Bombyx mori: one gene and its partners. The protein of the gene in region 1 purifies or fractionates together with the protein of each later gene. This does not show direct contact. Links are inferred from orthologs where the notes say so. Each region holds a gene or a part of one and is shown in the gene's direction. Other genes may lie near its edges.

What was found.
Region 2: the proteins of anaphase-promoting complex subunit 4 (region 1) and anaphase promoting complex subunit 11 purify together in Homo sapiens (affinity purification with mass spectrometry; 8 studies listed by BioGRID and IntAct, with this or other methods). This does not show direct contact. The link is inferred for Bombyx mori from reciprocal best matches to the Homo sapiens genes ANAPC4 and ANAPC11.
Region 3: the proteins of anaphase-promoting complex subunit 4 (region 1) and anaphase-promoting complex subunit 2 purify together in Homo sapiens (affinity purification with western blotting; 12 studies listed by BioGRID and IntAct, with this or other methods). This does not show direct contact. The link is inferred for Bombyx mori from reciprocal best matches to the Homo sapiens genes ANAPC4 and ANAPC2.
Region 4: the proteins of anaphase-promoting complex subunit 4 (region 1) and mitotic spindle assembly checkpoint protein MAD2A purify together in Homo sapiens (affinity purification with western blotting; 14 studies listed by BioGRID and IntAct, with this or other methods). This does not show direct contact. The link is inferred for Bombyx mori from reciprocal best matches to the Homo sapiens genes ANAPC4 and MAD2L1.

The regions. Positions count from the first base shown.
Region 1 is NC_085119.1:8,385,336-8,388,080, reverse strand, and holds the end of anaphase-promoting complex subunit 4, read left to right. Parts: intron 1-948; coding exon 949-2,163; 3' UTR 2,164-2,200; downstream 2,201-2,745. Other genes in the region: uncharacterized protein LOC101742302, read right to left, coding at 2,385-2,584. UniProt on the Homo sapiens protein: Component of the anaphase promoting complex/cyclosome (APC/C), a cell cycle-regulated E3 ubiquitin ligase that controls progression through mitosis and the G1 phase of the cell cycle.
Region 2 is NC_085118.1:13,747,097-13,751,309, forward strand, and holds the start of anaphase promoting complex subunit 11, read left to right. Parts: upstream 1-1,544; 5' UTR 1,545-1,726; coding exon 1,727-1,745; intron 1,746-1,755; exon of another isoform or gene 1,756-1,959; coding exon 1,960-2,195; 3' UTR 2,196-2,202; exon of another isoform or gene 2,203-3,243; intron 3,244-4,213. UniProt on the Homo sapiens protein: Together with the cullin protein ANAPC2, constitutes the catalytic component of the anaphase promoting complex/cyclosome (APC/C), a cell cycle-regulated E3 ubiquitin ligase that controls progression through mitosis and the G1 phase of the cell cycle.
Region 3 is NC_085131.1:8,614,779-8,618,861, reverse strand, and holds anaphase-promoting complex subunit 2, read left to right. Parts: upstream 1-1,240; 5' UTR 1,241-1,371; coding exon 1,372-3,705; 3' UTR 3,706-3,752; downstream 3,753-4,083. UniProt on the Homo sapiens protein: Together with the RING-H2 protein ANAPC11, constitutes the catalytic component of the anaphase promoting complex/cyclosome (APC/C), a cell cycle-regulated E3 ubiquitin ligase that controls progression through mitosis and the G1 phase of the cell cycle.
Region 4 is NC_085128.1:1,144,870-1,148,998, forward strand, and holds mitotic spindle assembly checkpoint protein MAD2A, read left to right. Parts: upstream 1-1,323; 5' UTR 1,324-1,505; coding exon 1,506-1,575; intron 1,576-1,921; coding exon 1,922-2,068; intron 2,069-2,511; coding exon 2,512-2,918; 3' UTR 2,919-3,874; downstream 3,875-4,129. UniProt on the Homo sapiens protein: Component of the spindle-assembly checkpoint that prevents the onset of anaphase until all chromosomes are properly aligned at the metaphase plate.

The DNA.
Region 1 (2,745 bases):
ATTAAAAAAAAAATTAAAACCAAATGATATTCTGTAAATAAATTGCTACTTATTGGTAATAAAAAAATAGACTTGGACTTCTTTACTCAATATGGGTCGCAGCGTCCACATTGGCATCTATGGCAGTAATCGATAAATACTAGGTAAGGTATCTAACCCATTTGAAATACTATATTCAATCCAAGATTTAGTATAAATACAACAACAATACTATCGCATATGTACTACACACCTGTACAGAATTCTTAGGGGTTTGATTCTTTTTTGAGTCACGAAGAAACCGCTAGACTTCCGCTTAAAATTAGAGGCCCGTGGCAGAATTAAACCGTCTAATAGCGCTCGTTGGTTGAGACACAATGGAAATATATGGAACGCTTAGGGTGCTAAAATTCGGACTTCCTTCCTATTCGAGTACCCCTGCTGGCTGAACGATGACGATTTGGTCCGCTAGCACTCATGGCGCGCTGCTTGCTTCTGTCAACACATTCGGCAATTCGGCAAAGAAGAGGACGGCTTTTTTTGTGTGGGTCATTGCGCGAATGTGTGAGTGACCTCATAGACACAGCCCACTGAGTTTCTCGCCAGATTTTCTCAGTGAGTCGCATTTCCGATCAGGTTGTTGATTCTGCGAAGCACTGCTCTTTGCTAGGGCCAGTGTTAGCATCAGTCCCGATTTGAGCCCCGTGAGCTCACCTACATGTCAAGCTGAAATAGCCTCTCAAGGCTTTCAGCATAGGTAGGAGTAAAAAAGTGAGTGTATGAAGCCGCAGTGATGGCAGTCCACCGTGGACTTAGCCACAACCCGGTGTTATTTCTGAAGCAATGACAAAGCAGGGCGCTGGTTCTAACACTTATCCGCTTTATCTATTGAATATCATATCACATTGTATAATATAATCACGATAGATTAGATGCAAATATTTTAAAATAATATAAACCATTTTGCAGATTCTAGGTTTAGAAGAAAGCAGTGTTACAGAAGCGATAAAAGCATGTTGTGCATTTTTAAACAAATGTCTGGAATTACAACAGGTTATTGATGTATCGATGCGGAACTATAAAGCTTTCTTCAGGTGGCTTTTTGTAGTAATCGTTAGACAACTGGATGAACAAACACCAAGTGAAATTGTGAAAATAAATCAACAGGAATTGAGCCACATAGCGGAGTTTCTCTACAATTTTGACAATGTAAAAGTAGACAGTTCAGACAAACCACCTGATAAATTGATCAAATTTAATTTAGAAAGATTAGGGCAATATTTGCAAAATCAAGAACTGACAATTTTGCCAGAAGATGAAGACAACACATGGCATAAATTTCTTCAAGACAATGCTTGCTTCCTTAAAGACAATGATACATTTTTCTCCATGAAAGACTTCAAAAAATATTCATTAGTTCAACAGCAAGCACATCTTATAGAGACAGTCACTAAAGTTTTTGATGTCGTTCATAAAGATACAGGAAAATATTTTTCTGTATTATGTAATATTAGATGCCACGAAGATCAACTGAATAAAAACCTGCACAATAGTTTGAGAGTTTCACAAGTCTTTGATGACACAAATAAACGATTGATGTCGGCCTTTTTGGATATATCAAATGGAAAAGAAGGAATTTATTTTTTGGCTGTCAATATAAAGGAGAGATCTTGTAATATTGCAGTTATGAAATGCTACTTTTCTTCTTATTTAGTTCAAAATGGCACTGATGATCAACAAAACGAACCTACAAATTTATTAGATTTACAATTCTATTCCCCAGAATATTTGTCAGTTATTACAACACATCCTGAAAATGAGGAAAATACAATATTTATTCAGGTACCAGTAAAACATCTCCTAGAAAATTCTACTGAACTCAATATTAACACAAAATCTTGTATTTTTACTGACAGAAGTGTAAAGAAGGATATTGCGCCTTTATTAGAACAGAATGTTTATAAAGTGCTTGAGAAAATGGACGGTTCAAGATTAGCAGTTTCTGGAGGTCGTAAAGTTGCTGTTATCCTTTCAAAAAGTTCTCGAAAAGTTAGAGTATTTGAAATGGAAGTTGATGGTGATGATGATGAAGACGATACTCTCGATACAACACCACAATCTATTGGAAAATTTCAAAACACACCTGATAAAAGTAATACTACCAATGAAGACAATATTTTTTAATATTTATTTAAGAAATTAAATATTCTACTCATCCTTATTATCTAGTATCATTTCTTTATCTACACTAGTACTTATTGAAAATTAATAATATGTAATTGGCAATAGATTATACACATTTGTTTAAAAGCATATTATTTTGGAACTATGTATTTGGAAAAATAAATTATTACAGTATTAAAATCTAAGTCTATGACACATCTTGACTTATGTACTGTTTTTAACTAAATCAAACTACGATGTGGTGATTTAATTTGAATATTTTCAAATACTGAATTGAAATCTGTATCTAATCCTTGGTTATCTATTCCATAGAGAAGTTCAGATGATTGATTTCTGCTTGGTCCCGCAACAGGTTCATGGATGCTAGTGGTAGTTTGATTATATATTTCATCACCATCTATTTCCTCATCTGGTTCATCAACTACAAACAAAATTTAAATCCATAATTTGGTCAGTCATCATACTTATGTGGTAAAATATAAAAAATGATAAGGGCTTTCCAAGTTAGTATAGTAACATTAAAAATACAGTAAAACCTCATAAAGGGAAATACAATTTTTTGCTACACTTTACATTAATACT
Region 2 (4,213 bases), on another chromosome or scaffold:
AAACGACCTAAGTATAAATAGGTACAGGTTTCTAGGGTTGTCTATGTAGTTATAACAATATTTTTTAAATTTGTTGGTAAAAATCTGGTTTATTCGTGATGTTTTTGTCTAGAACTTTTATTCAAAATTATCAATGTTTTATTTTATTGTTTGGTAAATATTTATATTATCAGTTACGTATTGTTTTCTGTTTTTAGATATGCCTCGCGTGTACGTATCAAAGAATGCAAAGCCTTATAAGAGATATTATCCCTTAATATTAAAAACAGCAATTAGGAAATTTTCTATTTGGGAATAAGTCTTTAGTTGAAATAGCTAAGCAATTTAATATAAGTAAGTCAATTTTGCACAGACATGTAATAAGAACAATGAAATCTCAAGGTGGACAAAAATGTCTAAGTAATACATAATAAAATATTTATTATTTGTTCAGAGTGTCCGTTTTTTAATGTTTTTTATTGATGATCACTTTGTTGGTGCAACTAAATAAATAAATTAAAACCAAGTAGTGCCCACCCTAGCAAATTTCTCATTTCGTCCCAATTAACCGCAATTTCCGGGTAAATAGGGATTACACCTATTTTTGCTTTTTTTGCTTAAACTGGAATGCTAGTTGCATAGTTTTAAATTGGACAACAAAGATGCTCCCAAGACTCAATCATTTTGATCCTGATATAGCATTATATACATCAACAACTACCTTAAAATTGGTCATAAAGATGGAATTTGTCCCTAATCGCCCCATTTTACCGGTACTTGCGTATTTCAAGTTGCTTCCGCTTGCAGTTCTTTCACTGAAGTTCCAGTACATGTGTAATTTCTATTTTTAGTATTGTTTAAAAGTGATTTATTAAAGACCTTGTTTAGTTTTTAGTTCTTTTTATTTCAAATGATTTTTAGTAGTTTAATTGAGTTTGGTAATTTTTTTTTATTTCACTTAACATCATTTCAAAATATGGTACTCGTTTATGACTTCGTTTCATGTATCGATCCCCGTGCCTATCAGATTTTGAAATAAAATAATAAAAATTACACTTTGAAAATTTTCGAATTAACATCTGACAATTTTTTTAGCGGGAACGCAAGGCGCTAAGTTCTGTTAATTTTGTTAAAGTAGTGCTCATGTTTAAACGTGTAATAACGGTGATTATTACACTATTATTATACTATATTACATTATTAACTGTTTAGTATCTCTGAAGGTGCACAAATGTGGGAAAATGAAACAAATTCGCTGGACGTAGCTTCTCAAAAGCTTCCAAAAAGTCTTGGTGCATAACCACCACTCCACTGAGACTATATTTCATCACATCTCATCTCATTTCATTAACATCCTAATTGATTTACTGTCTCAAATTAATAAACTTCATCTCATTTCGCTCTATGGTTTTTCAAAACACAGAATTCACAGAATACACAAAAAATACGCTGTATGGTGTGATACCTTCGTTTTTCCAGTTCAAAAAATAAAGTAGCCGATAAGACTGACATATGACTGACATTAAAAACAAATTTATTTGATCTTACTTGATTTTACTTCAGTGGTTAGATTAATAAAATAAACATTATATTTTTAAAATTAGCACATAAACTTAAAGGCAAATGATAAATACTGAAAAAAATTTGTTCAGTCAACATATTATATCATAAAAATCGTTAATTTAATTATGAAGGATCTTAAGGTTAAATAAATCTAAAACTTCTATTTTAGCCTCATGATCGCGCTATGAAAGTAACTGTAAAAAGTAAGCACAATCTCTTTTTTTCATAATGTTTATTTTCCCTGGTTAATTTACACTTTATTCTTTGCAACTTAAAACACACTGACATTAAAGTAAATTAAGTAGTAATTTTTGCTAAGTGCCTTATTGTCATAGAGCACAATTCTTAAAAATTCCTCATACAAGGAAGAACCGATTGAAATTGAAATATTCACAGTAACGAGATAATTCATTTTAGGTTGGACAGGGGTTGCAACTTGGAGGTGGGTAGCAAACGACGACAATTGTGGGATTTGTCGTATGCCATTTGATAGCTGCTGTCCAGACTGCAAACTACCTGGGGACGACTGCCCTCTAGTTTGGGGTGCTTGCTCTCACTGTTTCCACATTCACTGTATCGTAAAGTGGCTACACTCTCAGCCTCAACAGCAGTGTCCTATGTGCAGACAAGACTGGAAGTTCAATAACAAGTGAAATATTCGTAAGTACATACCATAAATTAAGAAAATATAGTTTAAATAATAAATAAATATAGGTTTTTATTCTCACACTTTATTGTGTCACTGCTGTCCCATTTTGTAACTATATTTTGTTTACCAACCTATAAGGCTAGAATAATTTGGAAAAATTTATTGTTTGGTGTTTTCAAACTCAATAAGTAGTTAAATGGTTCGATGATTATAGAGTCACAAATCCTTATTAGTCATTTTTAGTTTAGTGATAACAAGTTTAAATCTCACCTTAACTTATTAATCAGGTGGTATGTAGTATAGAATATAGGGATTGATCTGCACATAATAGCAACTTTTATTATTAATGTCAGAATAATGCAAATCTAACATAAATGAAGTTGACAATATCACAACATTTTTCTTTCTTTGAAGCTTTGATTACGGAGTTCTACAGTTTCCTTCCTTTCATAATTCAGCAGAGTACTAAGTTTTAAAGACAAAAGGTTGCTACTATGCTAGTACAGATTAAATATTATTAAAGTTTTCTGTGAATTGTTGTACAAGGGATTGTCAAAAATATCATAATAACGAGGGGTGAAAGGTTATTATTTGGTTTAAGAGATAATATTCGATATTTATCTTTGTAATTAAAGGTGCATTTTATTTGATGTCAGTATAATTTTTTAATTGAACTTTAATTAAGCTAAAGAAGTTTTTTTTTTATTATGTTTTTTTTTTCAAATTTTAAACTTTAAATGGCTCTGCTATAAAGCTGCAAAAATGTCGCTCAAATCAAATAGCCTTTCACCCCGATATGAACTACTGATAAATTTAGATGTGTTGGTGAAATTAGCCTACCTTATGTTCTTTTTTTTTTTATTGCCCCTGTGGGCATACGGCCCACCTGATGGTGAGTGGTTACCGTCGCCCATGGACCTCAGCAATGCTAGGGGCAGAGCCAAGCCGCTGCCTACTGCTAAAATTTTCACTGCTTTTCCATTATTTGTATTTGGGCAGGGATTAGATGCAGTGTAGTTCGACTCCCACAACCTGAATTTGTTCAAACCACTCTGAAATTATAAATATTAGGTAATGATTATTAACAAAACATCTGTAGTGATAGAAAACAATCTCTGGAAAAATATTCTATAAGGATTCTGGATGATTTGCCTTTGGCACCAAATAATTTGGTCAAAGGGCAAATTATCTCTCCCAAAAAAACCAAAATACTGGGATACTCTTAAAATATAATCTTTATATACAGTATTTATAATATACTTTTTTACTGGGCATCGTTTCTGCCTGCACTGATAGTGACCACCATCCTACATATTTTTGCTGTGAAGCAGTAAAATGTAAACATTTGATGTGTGGAGCAGCCGATGTACTGTAAAAACTGACTTAGAAGTCATGTCACAGAATGGGTTGTGACAACTCATTAATCTCTCAGCAAAAATTAACTGTGAACCTTGCTGTCTATTCTTCGAGTTGCCTTTCGCAAAACTCACGAGAAGAGAGTGGATGCCATTCTAGGCCCTCTGGAGCTTAGTGTGCTGCATGCCGACATCGGTGTGTTTATAAACCAAAAAGGTCCCACATATTGCTTAACAGCACTTCAAAGAAATGTGATCAAAGCTGAAGTCCTGACAGGATACGTTGATGGCAAGCAATTTTTTTTGCCCCGAAATCGTCCTTTTAATTTTTTTAATTTTTCTTGTTGCTTCGATGGGTGGACGAGCTCACAGCCCACCTGATGTTAAGTGGTTATTGGAGCCCATAGACATCTACAAACTAAATACGCCACCCACGTTGAGATATAAGTTCTAAGGTCTCAGTATAGTTACAACGGCTGCCCCACCCTTCAAGCCGAAACGCATTACTGTTTCATGGCAGAAATAGGCGAAGTAGTGGTACCTACCCGCGCGGACTCACAAGAGGTCCTACCACCTACTTAATCAAATATCATTTAGTTTCAAACGCGTAATTTTTGTTTGGCAATGACGCGTAAATAATACACGCGGGGGTAGACATCTACCAGCT
Region 3 (4,083 bases), on another chromosome or scaffold:
GAACAATCGAAAATGAATATTTACGAGTAATTAAGGACGAAAAAATTTTAAAAATTGCAATCGAGGGGCTAACTTTTAGATATATTTTTAATATTTTTTTTAAAATAAATAAATGGGGAACAAACAATTATTAACAATGAACAATCAAGAACAAATGATGAACAAACGAATTAATAGAAAATAAGTAGAAAACAGGAAAAAAAAATTTTTTTGAGGGGCTAACTTCATTCACCTATAAAATCACACCATTTAATTTATAACAAAGGCCAAAACCATATATTTTGTTGTGAGAAAAGTGAAATAGGAATTTTGCACAAAAAAAATCCGGCGAGTTATTTAGCCGCGTGGAACTAAATTAAATGTCAGAAATATTGGAGCTCAATGAATTTGGCCCCCCCCCCTTTGTAATTATTGGATTTTTTATTTTTAATTGTTATTTCGTCTTTTATTTATTTATAATTAATTAAACAAATGATCACCCTTAAGTCGGCCCCTCTTACTAGATGTCTTTATTTCTATCACTCAGACTAATTAATTTTGATCAATTATCGTTTGTTCGGCGACTATTGGTGATTGTTGCATCATAAAAACAAATAAATTCCCAATTATTAATTATTTTATATCTATTAAGCAATCAGGCCTATATTGTGCATGCGCCGGTTTTGTCAGTCACCTATCAATGGCCGTATTTACTAGCGTTTTGTTAACAAGTGCGCTTAAACTGTCTAATTATTTCCTAGGTAGATCAAAAAAATATTGAAAACTTCAACAATACTTCAACAAAAAAATGTCAGTGAAGACGACCAATTAGTCGTTAAAGTACGATTCGCCCGGTTTTAATAAATTCAGTTATTTTTAATTATATTGAATATTAACAACCATATAGAAATTTCAGTGATTTCTAATTATTCTAAGAATATTAAATTAATAATTGGGAATTTAATTGTTTTTATGATCGAGCAATCACCAGTAGTTGTCGAACAAACGATAATTGATCACAATTAATTAATCTGATCGATAAAAATAAAGATATTTTGTAAGAGGGGCTAACTTAAGAGTGATCATTTGTTTAATTATAAATAAATAATGGACGAACAAACAATTTTTACATTCGAACATTAACGAACAAACGACGAATAAATAATTAAAATTAAAAAAATATATTTGAAAATTAAAAAAAGGAGGCCAAATTCAGCTAAAATACTAACTCTATGGCACAGGACCACAGATCATAGATTAGACACTTAATATCCACAGATTAATATATTAGGATTGAACGCAAAGAGTAAAGTGTAAACATTAATTAATTTATTTATGAGGATATCGTTCTTAGATCTTAGATCTTATGTATAAGATAACTGACCTGCAATAATGATGAATATAAATCATAAAAAGGAAGATTTGAAACTGTACTGGAATAAAATAAACTATGCCTATCCAATTCTCGATGATAAAATTTTCAGCGACTGTACTGAGGCTGAATACGATGAAGTGCAAGTGTTAATAGTTAATTTGGGTGTCCAAATAAAGATACGTGATCTTGTATTTGTTCATATTGAGAAATATCTACGACAACATGTCGCATCTAGTTTTTGGTCAAAATATATTAAGACCGCGGAAGAAGTTAAAGGATTTCAACTATTTAAATCTTCAGTGAATGATCTCTATGAAGCAGTTTCTAGTTTCTCACCCATGTTACAAAGATTGACTAAATTGAACAGTAGTTGTAATGATAATAAGTTAATTTATGGCGAGAAAAATCTTGTATTAGGTTTTAAGCAGCTCGTCCGAGCTACTCTTCTGTCTCAGTTACCCATCGACTTTCAGTGTATTATAAACCAATTCTACAAAATATCTTTTAATGTTTTCGATAATGAATATGAAAACTCCGACATGGGCGAGGACATAATGTGTTCTGGTTGTGGAAACGAGTATTCCGATTGTAACTGTGCATACATTGTGAAAGTATTTCATGAAACAAATAGGAAGTTGGTGGAGTTACAATTGTTAGAAAGACTCACAGGTCAAGTTCTAACTAATTTCATCCAGTTGAGAATTCAGTCTCATATACAGAAAGTATGTACTGGCACTTTTGATGTGTCCCACATTGAAGCATTAGAAAGTTGGCTTAATACGACAGTAATGTCTTGGTTGATCAGAATTTATTGTGCTGGCTCCTCCAAACCTCCACCTGATGATAAAAATATACAAAATGCAATCTCAAGATTCAAACAGAAACTCACTTACTATCTCTATCATAGCTACACAAAAACAAGAATTGATCAGCTCTTCAACATCATTATAGAATATCCTGATTCCCAGCCTGCTGTTGATGACATCAAAATTTGTTTAGCAAAAACAGATTTGAGACCAACTCTATGTAAAAAGTTACAGAATGCATTAGAAACAAGGCTTCTTCACCCAGGCGTGAACACTCCTGACATACTCACTGCTTACATATCTACTATTAGAGCTTTGAGACACCTAGATCCTTCTGGTGTTATACTGGAAACAGTGACAAAACCTGTTCGTAATTATTTAAGAAGTAGAGAAGATACAGTGAGGAGTGTTGTGAGCAGTTTGACAGAAGAAGGTGCTGGTAGTGAGTTAGCTGAAGAGCTAGCTAAATTTGCAGCAGAAGGAGATGGCGATGCCGATAAAGATGAGGCTTGGGATGAATGGAATCCTGATCCAGTTGATGCTGATCCCAAAGTTGATTCAAATGACAGAAGAACTAATGATATTATATCTATGCTTGTTAATGTTTATGGTAGCAAGGAATTGTTTGTTAATGAATATAGAACTTTACTAGCTGATAGATTACTGGCTCAAAGTGTTATCAATACAGAAAAAGAAATTAGGTACCTGGAGCTATTAAAAATAAGATTTGGTGAATCACAATTACACTTCTGTGAAGTCATGCTTAAAGATATATCAGATTCAAAGAGAATTAATTCCTTAATACATCAGGACAAAACCATTGAGGAGCTGAATAAGAAATTTACTTCTAATGCAATGATTTTATCTGCACAGTTTTGGCCACCATTTAAAGATGAAAGTCTGGAATTACCAGAAGAAATCAAGGAACATTTTGAAGCATACACTAAATCTTATGAAGCTTTAAAAGGTAATCGAACATTAAGCTGGAAACCACACCTTGGAAATGTAAACTTAGAGATAGAAATAGGCGAAAAGAAGTTAGATCTGACAGTTTCACCTTTTAATGCGACATTGATAATGCATTTCCAAAATAAATCTGAATGGACGTTAGATGAACTCCATCAGGTGATGAAAGTTCCTATTACTATTCTGAGAAGGAAAATAACATACTGGCAATCGATGGGTTTAATAGCAGAAAAAAGTACAGATCACTTTGTTTTAGTTGAAGCTGATAATAAAGCCAGTGTACCTTCACATCAAGTACAGGAAATGATTTGTGAAGATGAAGAAACGGAGAGTGCCATGGCATCAGCACATGATCAGCGGGAAGGTGAACTGCAAGTTTTTTGGTCTTATATTGTAGGCATGTTAACAAACTTGGACTGTTTGCCTTTGGACAGAATACATCAAATGTTGAAGATGTTTGCTTCCCAAGCTCCAGGCACTGAATGCAGTCTTATGGAGCTGAGACAATTTTTAGACACAAAAGTAAGAACACATCAACTGGTACTTCAAGGAGGCATGTACAAATTGCCTAAGACATAGATGTTAATATTTATCAGAAATAAAAAAGAACTTGAAAGTTAACAAAACTTTATTTTCACCTTTTATATATTAATTTGGTTACATTACATGTCTATTTAAGTTAAAAGTTCAGATGCTTAAAACAATTTCTTTAAGCTGTTCCATCAACAAAATACATTATAAATTAAAATAAGTAATACCACCACTTGACTATAAAATAATACGAATAACATTTAAATACTTAGTGAATTTAATACATTATCATGTGTCAGTCTTAATATCTATTAAAATACTGTTTAAATTAAGAAGTAAGAATAAATAAATAAAACTAATTTGACAAGAAAAACATACTGGAGATAATACAGATTCATTATAAATATGCAGGGTGGAATGCATTTG
Region 4 (4,129 bases), on another chromosome or scaffold:
TTTTCCCACATTTGTGCACTTTCACAGATATTAAACAGTTAATAAACCACCGTTATTACCAGTGGTCGGAGTAGGTAGATTGATTTCATATACTTGGATCAAGATATTTTAATATGGACATGCCATTTTATCCATAATGATTATTTTTTTAAAATGAAAAAAATTATTTTTAATCCTCATCGGATACAATTTCTATACTTATAAAGTAACAAAAAAGCACTGTCTAAGTTTTGTCTCATACTGACAAGCGTCATTTACAATTTAACAGAAAGGGACAAAATAACTATAACTATAACTATACACATATATATAATATATAACTGTAACTATTCCAAGGCGTTTTTGTATAAAACAAAATACTGATTTCTTTTACCATTAGCTAGCACTGATAGCGTAGATTACAGGTGGCTGTGAACTCGTCTACCCATCTAAGCAATAAAGAAAAAAAAAATTATTATTACGTTTTTCACTTTAAACACAAATTCATGCTAATTTCAAAATTCCGGAACAAATATCACAATAAATATGAAGTTCCAGTATTTTGGAGGCATATATATATATATATATATCCATATTATCCTCTACGTTTGACGTCAACGACCTTAACTCAATCTACTTACCCACTCTGACCTCTAGTTATTACACATTTAAACCTGAAGAAACACTAATTAAACAAAATAAAACAAATCACACAACTTCACTCCTCGAGTTCCCGCCAAAAAGTTCTTAATAGGTACCTACATATTGTTTTTGTTTCATAATAGCATCATACATGGTGGTAAGGCCTCTTGTGAGTCCGCGAGGATAGGTATCACCACCCTGTCTATTTCTGCCGTGAAGCAGTAATATGTTTCGGTTTAAAGGGTGGGGCAGCCGTTGTAACTAAACTTGAGACCTTAGAACTCATATCTCAAGGTGGGTGGCGCATTTACGTTGTAGATATCTATGGGCTCCAGTAACCACTTAACACCAGGTGGGCTGTGAGCTTGTCCACCCATCTAAGCAATAAAAAAAAATCAAATGATTCAGGTTGCCGAAGTTAAGATTTTACCCTTTTAGTTTGGAGGATAGAGATTAGGAGCACATCATCATCTTTGTGTGTTGATGTAGCTGTATGTAGAGAGAGCTTATTTCTATTTGATCTCATGTATTTAAGTTTATTACCACTTTACTTAAAAATTAATTTATTTTCCTCAGTTCCATTTCACTTTGCGTAGTATATCAGACGGAGTTTTGTATTTTTAATATGTAAGCAAAGGGTATATGGAGGCGTTTGAGCATTGACACTTGATTTAAAGGAATTTTTGACATTGAAGTTTGAATGAAATGTTTTGAATTATTTGAAAATAACAATTATCAACGGACGCGCTGAATTCACCCAGTACCTACATAACGGCTCGTTTGTATCAAATCGTCCCTACATACTCAAGTGTGTATATAAATTCATTGATTTTGATTATTGATAGAACGATTACAGCAATATAATCGACAAACAGCTGACAACTATGTCACTACAACAAACAAAAAATTGTATTACTTTGCGCGGCTCCGCTCAAATTATATGCGAATATTTGAGTAAGTAACATTGTTTCTCTGTTGTTCTGGTATCAAAAGCTTGTTTTCCCATTTTTACCACACAGCCGTATAAGCATATATGCGCTGAAAGCTCTGATACTAATAATAACCTGAGGTTGTAACCAGTATGTTGAAGTGGCCATGATGGACATGCTTATTTATTTTTATTTATTGAATTAATATATTTTGTACACACAGCTGTTAGAAGAAACACGACCATAAAGATACAGAGTACAAGGGCTTACTAATGTGGACTACAAAACCATTATAAATTTATATGACTAAAGTCCACATTTGTTTAATCCCTGTGAGTAGTATAAACTGATTTATTTACTCATGTTTTCAGAATTTTCAATAAATTCAGTACTGTTTCAACGAGGCTTATATCCACCTGAAACCTTTAAGGCAGAAAACCAGTATGGCATCACACTGCTACTCTCAGAGGATCCTCAGATCAAGAGCTTCTTAACAAATCTTCTTACACAGAGTGAAGGTATCAGTTAGTCTACATCCAAATCTAATATGATTAATAGCAGTTCTTAGTAATAATTAGTAACTTTTTTGATGGACTTAAAATAAAGATCAACAATTTGGGGAGTTCTTTTATCATTCATTGTTTTTAGTGGCATTGTATTTATGCACGAATGAGATGAATCAACTGCTCATGTGCTGTGTTTTGAGGGCCACTACTGCTACCTACTTAGCTCCACACCTTAGTCTGGAGTTTTAGGAGTTTTGACATCCTTTAAATAAAGTTTTACCACAGCAATTTCTTTAGTTTTCACAAGTCATAGAGATAACTGAAACTAGTACAAAATTTAATGTACATCAATAACCTTAATTGTCAGTACTCACAATATCACAAAACAAAAATAATATATGTGTGATATAATCCATTAAAGTAGTTTTAATGATGTTATTTTGATGATATTACAGAATGGATTCTTGACAAGAAAGTGAAAAAACTATCTCTGATCATACTAAATGTGGCTAACAAAGAAGTTCTGGAATGTTGGGACTTTAACATTCAATACGAAGATGGAGATACTGCTTTATCTAAGGAGAAAAATGAAATGGTCGGGAGCAAAGATTTGAAGAAGATACAACAGGAAATCAGAGATGTTATGTTACAAGTAGCAGCAACAATATCGTACTTACCGCTATTAGATTGTAGATGTTCATTTGATGTTTTGGTTCATGCTAAAACAGACTGCGATATTCCAGAAAAATGGGCTGAGGCACAACCAGTAGCTATAGCCAATGCTCAGAATGTACAGCTAAAGTCATTCTCGACTAGTTTACACAAAATGGAAACAGTAGTCAGTTACAAACTCGCAGATTGATTGCAGCTTTACTTTATAAGTTTTCTATTCTTTTTAAGTATCTCAAGTAATGTAGTTTGTAATTATCTAAGGTAAGGTAACATATTGTTGAAGAGAGCATGCATCAATTGCGTGATGACCATCAGGTGACCATAAGGTGGACTATGACCGTCTACCCATTTTAAATAATAAATAACCTTTACTGCTTTCTCCCCTCTCTGCAATAATGTACTAGTGAATCTTTAATGACTCATAATTATAGTAATGGTGAATTTTAAAATGAAATTATGCCATAACAATTACTACAGTTGTCGTGATGTGTTAAGTTTTAGTTTTTTTTCTCAAATAAGAAGGAAATCGTCAATCAAATTGTTAGGCCATTATTGGTTGTAGACTGTTCTCGATCTAAATACGTATAATTTTATTTAGTGACTAAGTTACAGTAGGTATTGATTATGCTTTAAACAGTCTAAAGTTTGTTTTAATCTCACAGCTAAGTTTTGAGTGCTTGGTTTTACAAACAATGTTATCTGACTCCCATACAGGCCAATAAAGATTATTGTTAGATACTTGAGAAAAACAGTGATGTTCTCACACGAGGCTGGCATTCGCACATATTCTATGCGTTAAGACCTGAATATGGAGTTGATTTTCTAACAAACGGTTATCAATATCTTAGCCCCACAAGTAATTTTGTTGGTATCTACAAATGGAAATCATTTAGTATTTAAATGGTAATGACTACATCTCTAGTTCGCTTGTTCATGTATCTACTATAATACTGTATACTTGGGCACTTAATGGGCACCTAAAATTGAAAATAATTTTATATTATGTGTTTTTAACTAATAGCAATCAACCGAAATCTATATTGTGTTCAGTATTGTAAATATAAAATGTAAGTTTTAACTGTGAATGTAGCACCTTCGTTTCAATGTTTGGTATCATTTTGGCATGTATAAATGAATTTAAAAGTGTTTGGTTTTTGTCTTGTTTAAATGAGCGATGATACAAGGGTGATATAAATTTTCTACTATGACTACAGCATAATTTATTCTACTTTCGTTACGTTTCTGGATCGATTCGAGGCCAAGGTCGTCGTGTATGTCAACGTTCCTCACGAACCACAGCTCCGACGGCCAGCCTGCAAAAGCTGGATTGTAGGGATTGGAGGGTGTCCAAGTGTGTGCGGGCCGCGTGAGCAAACACCACACGCGTAGGTCATGACGGGC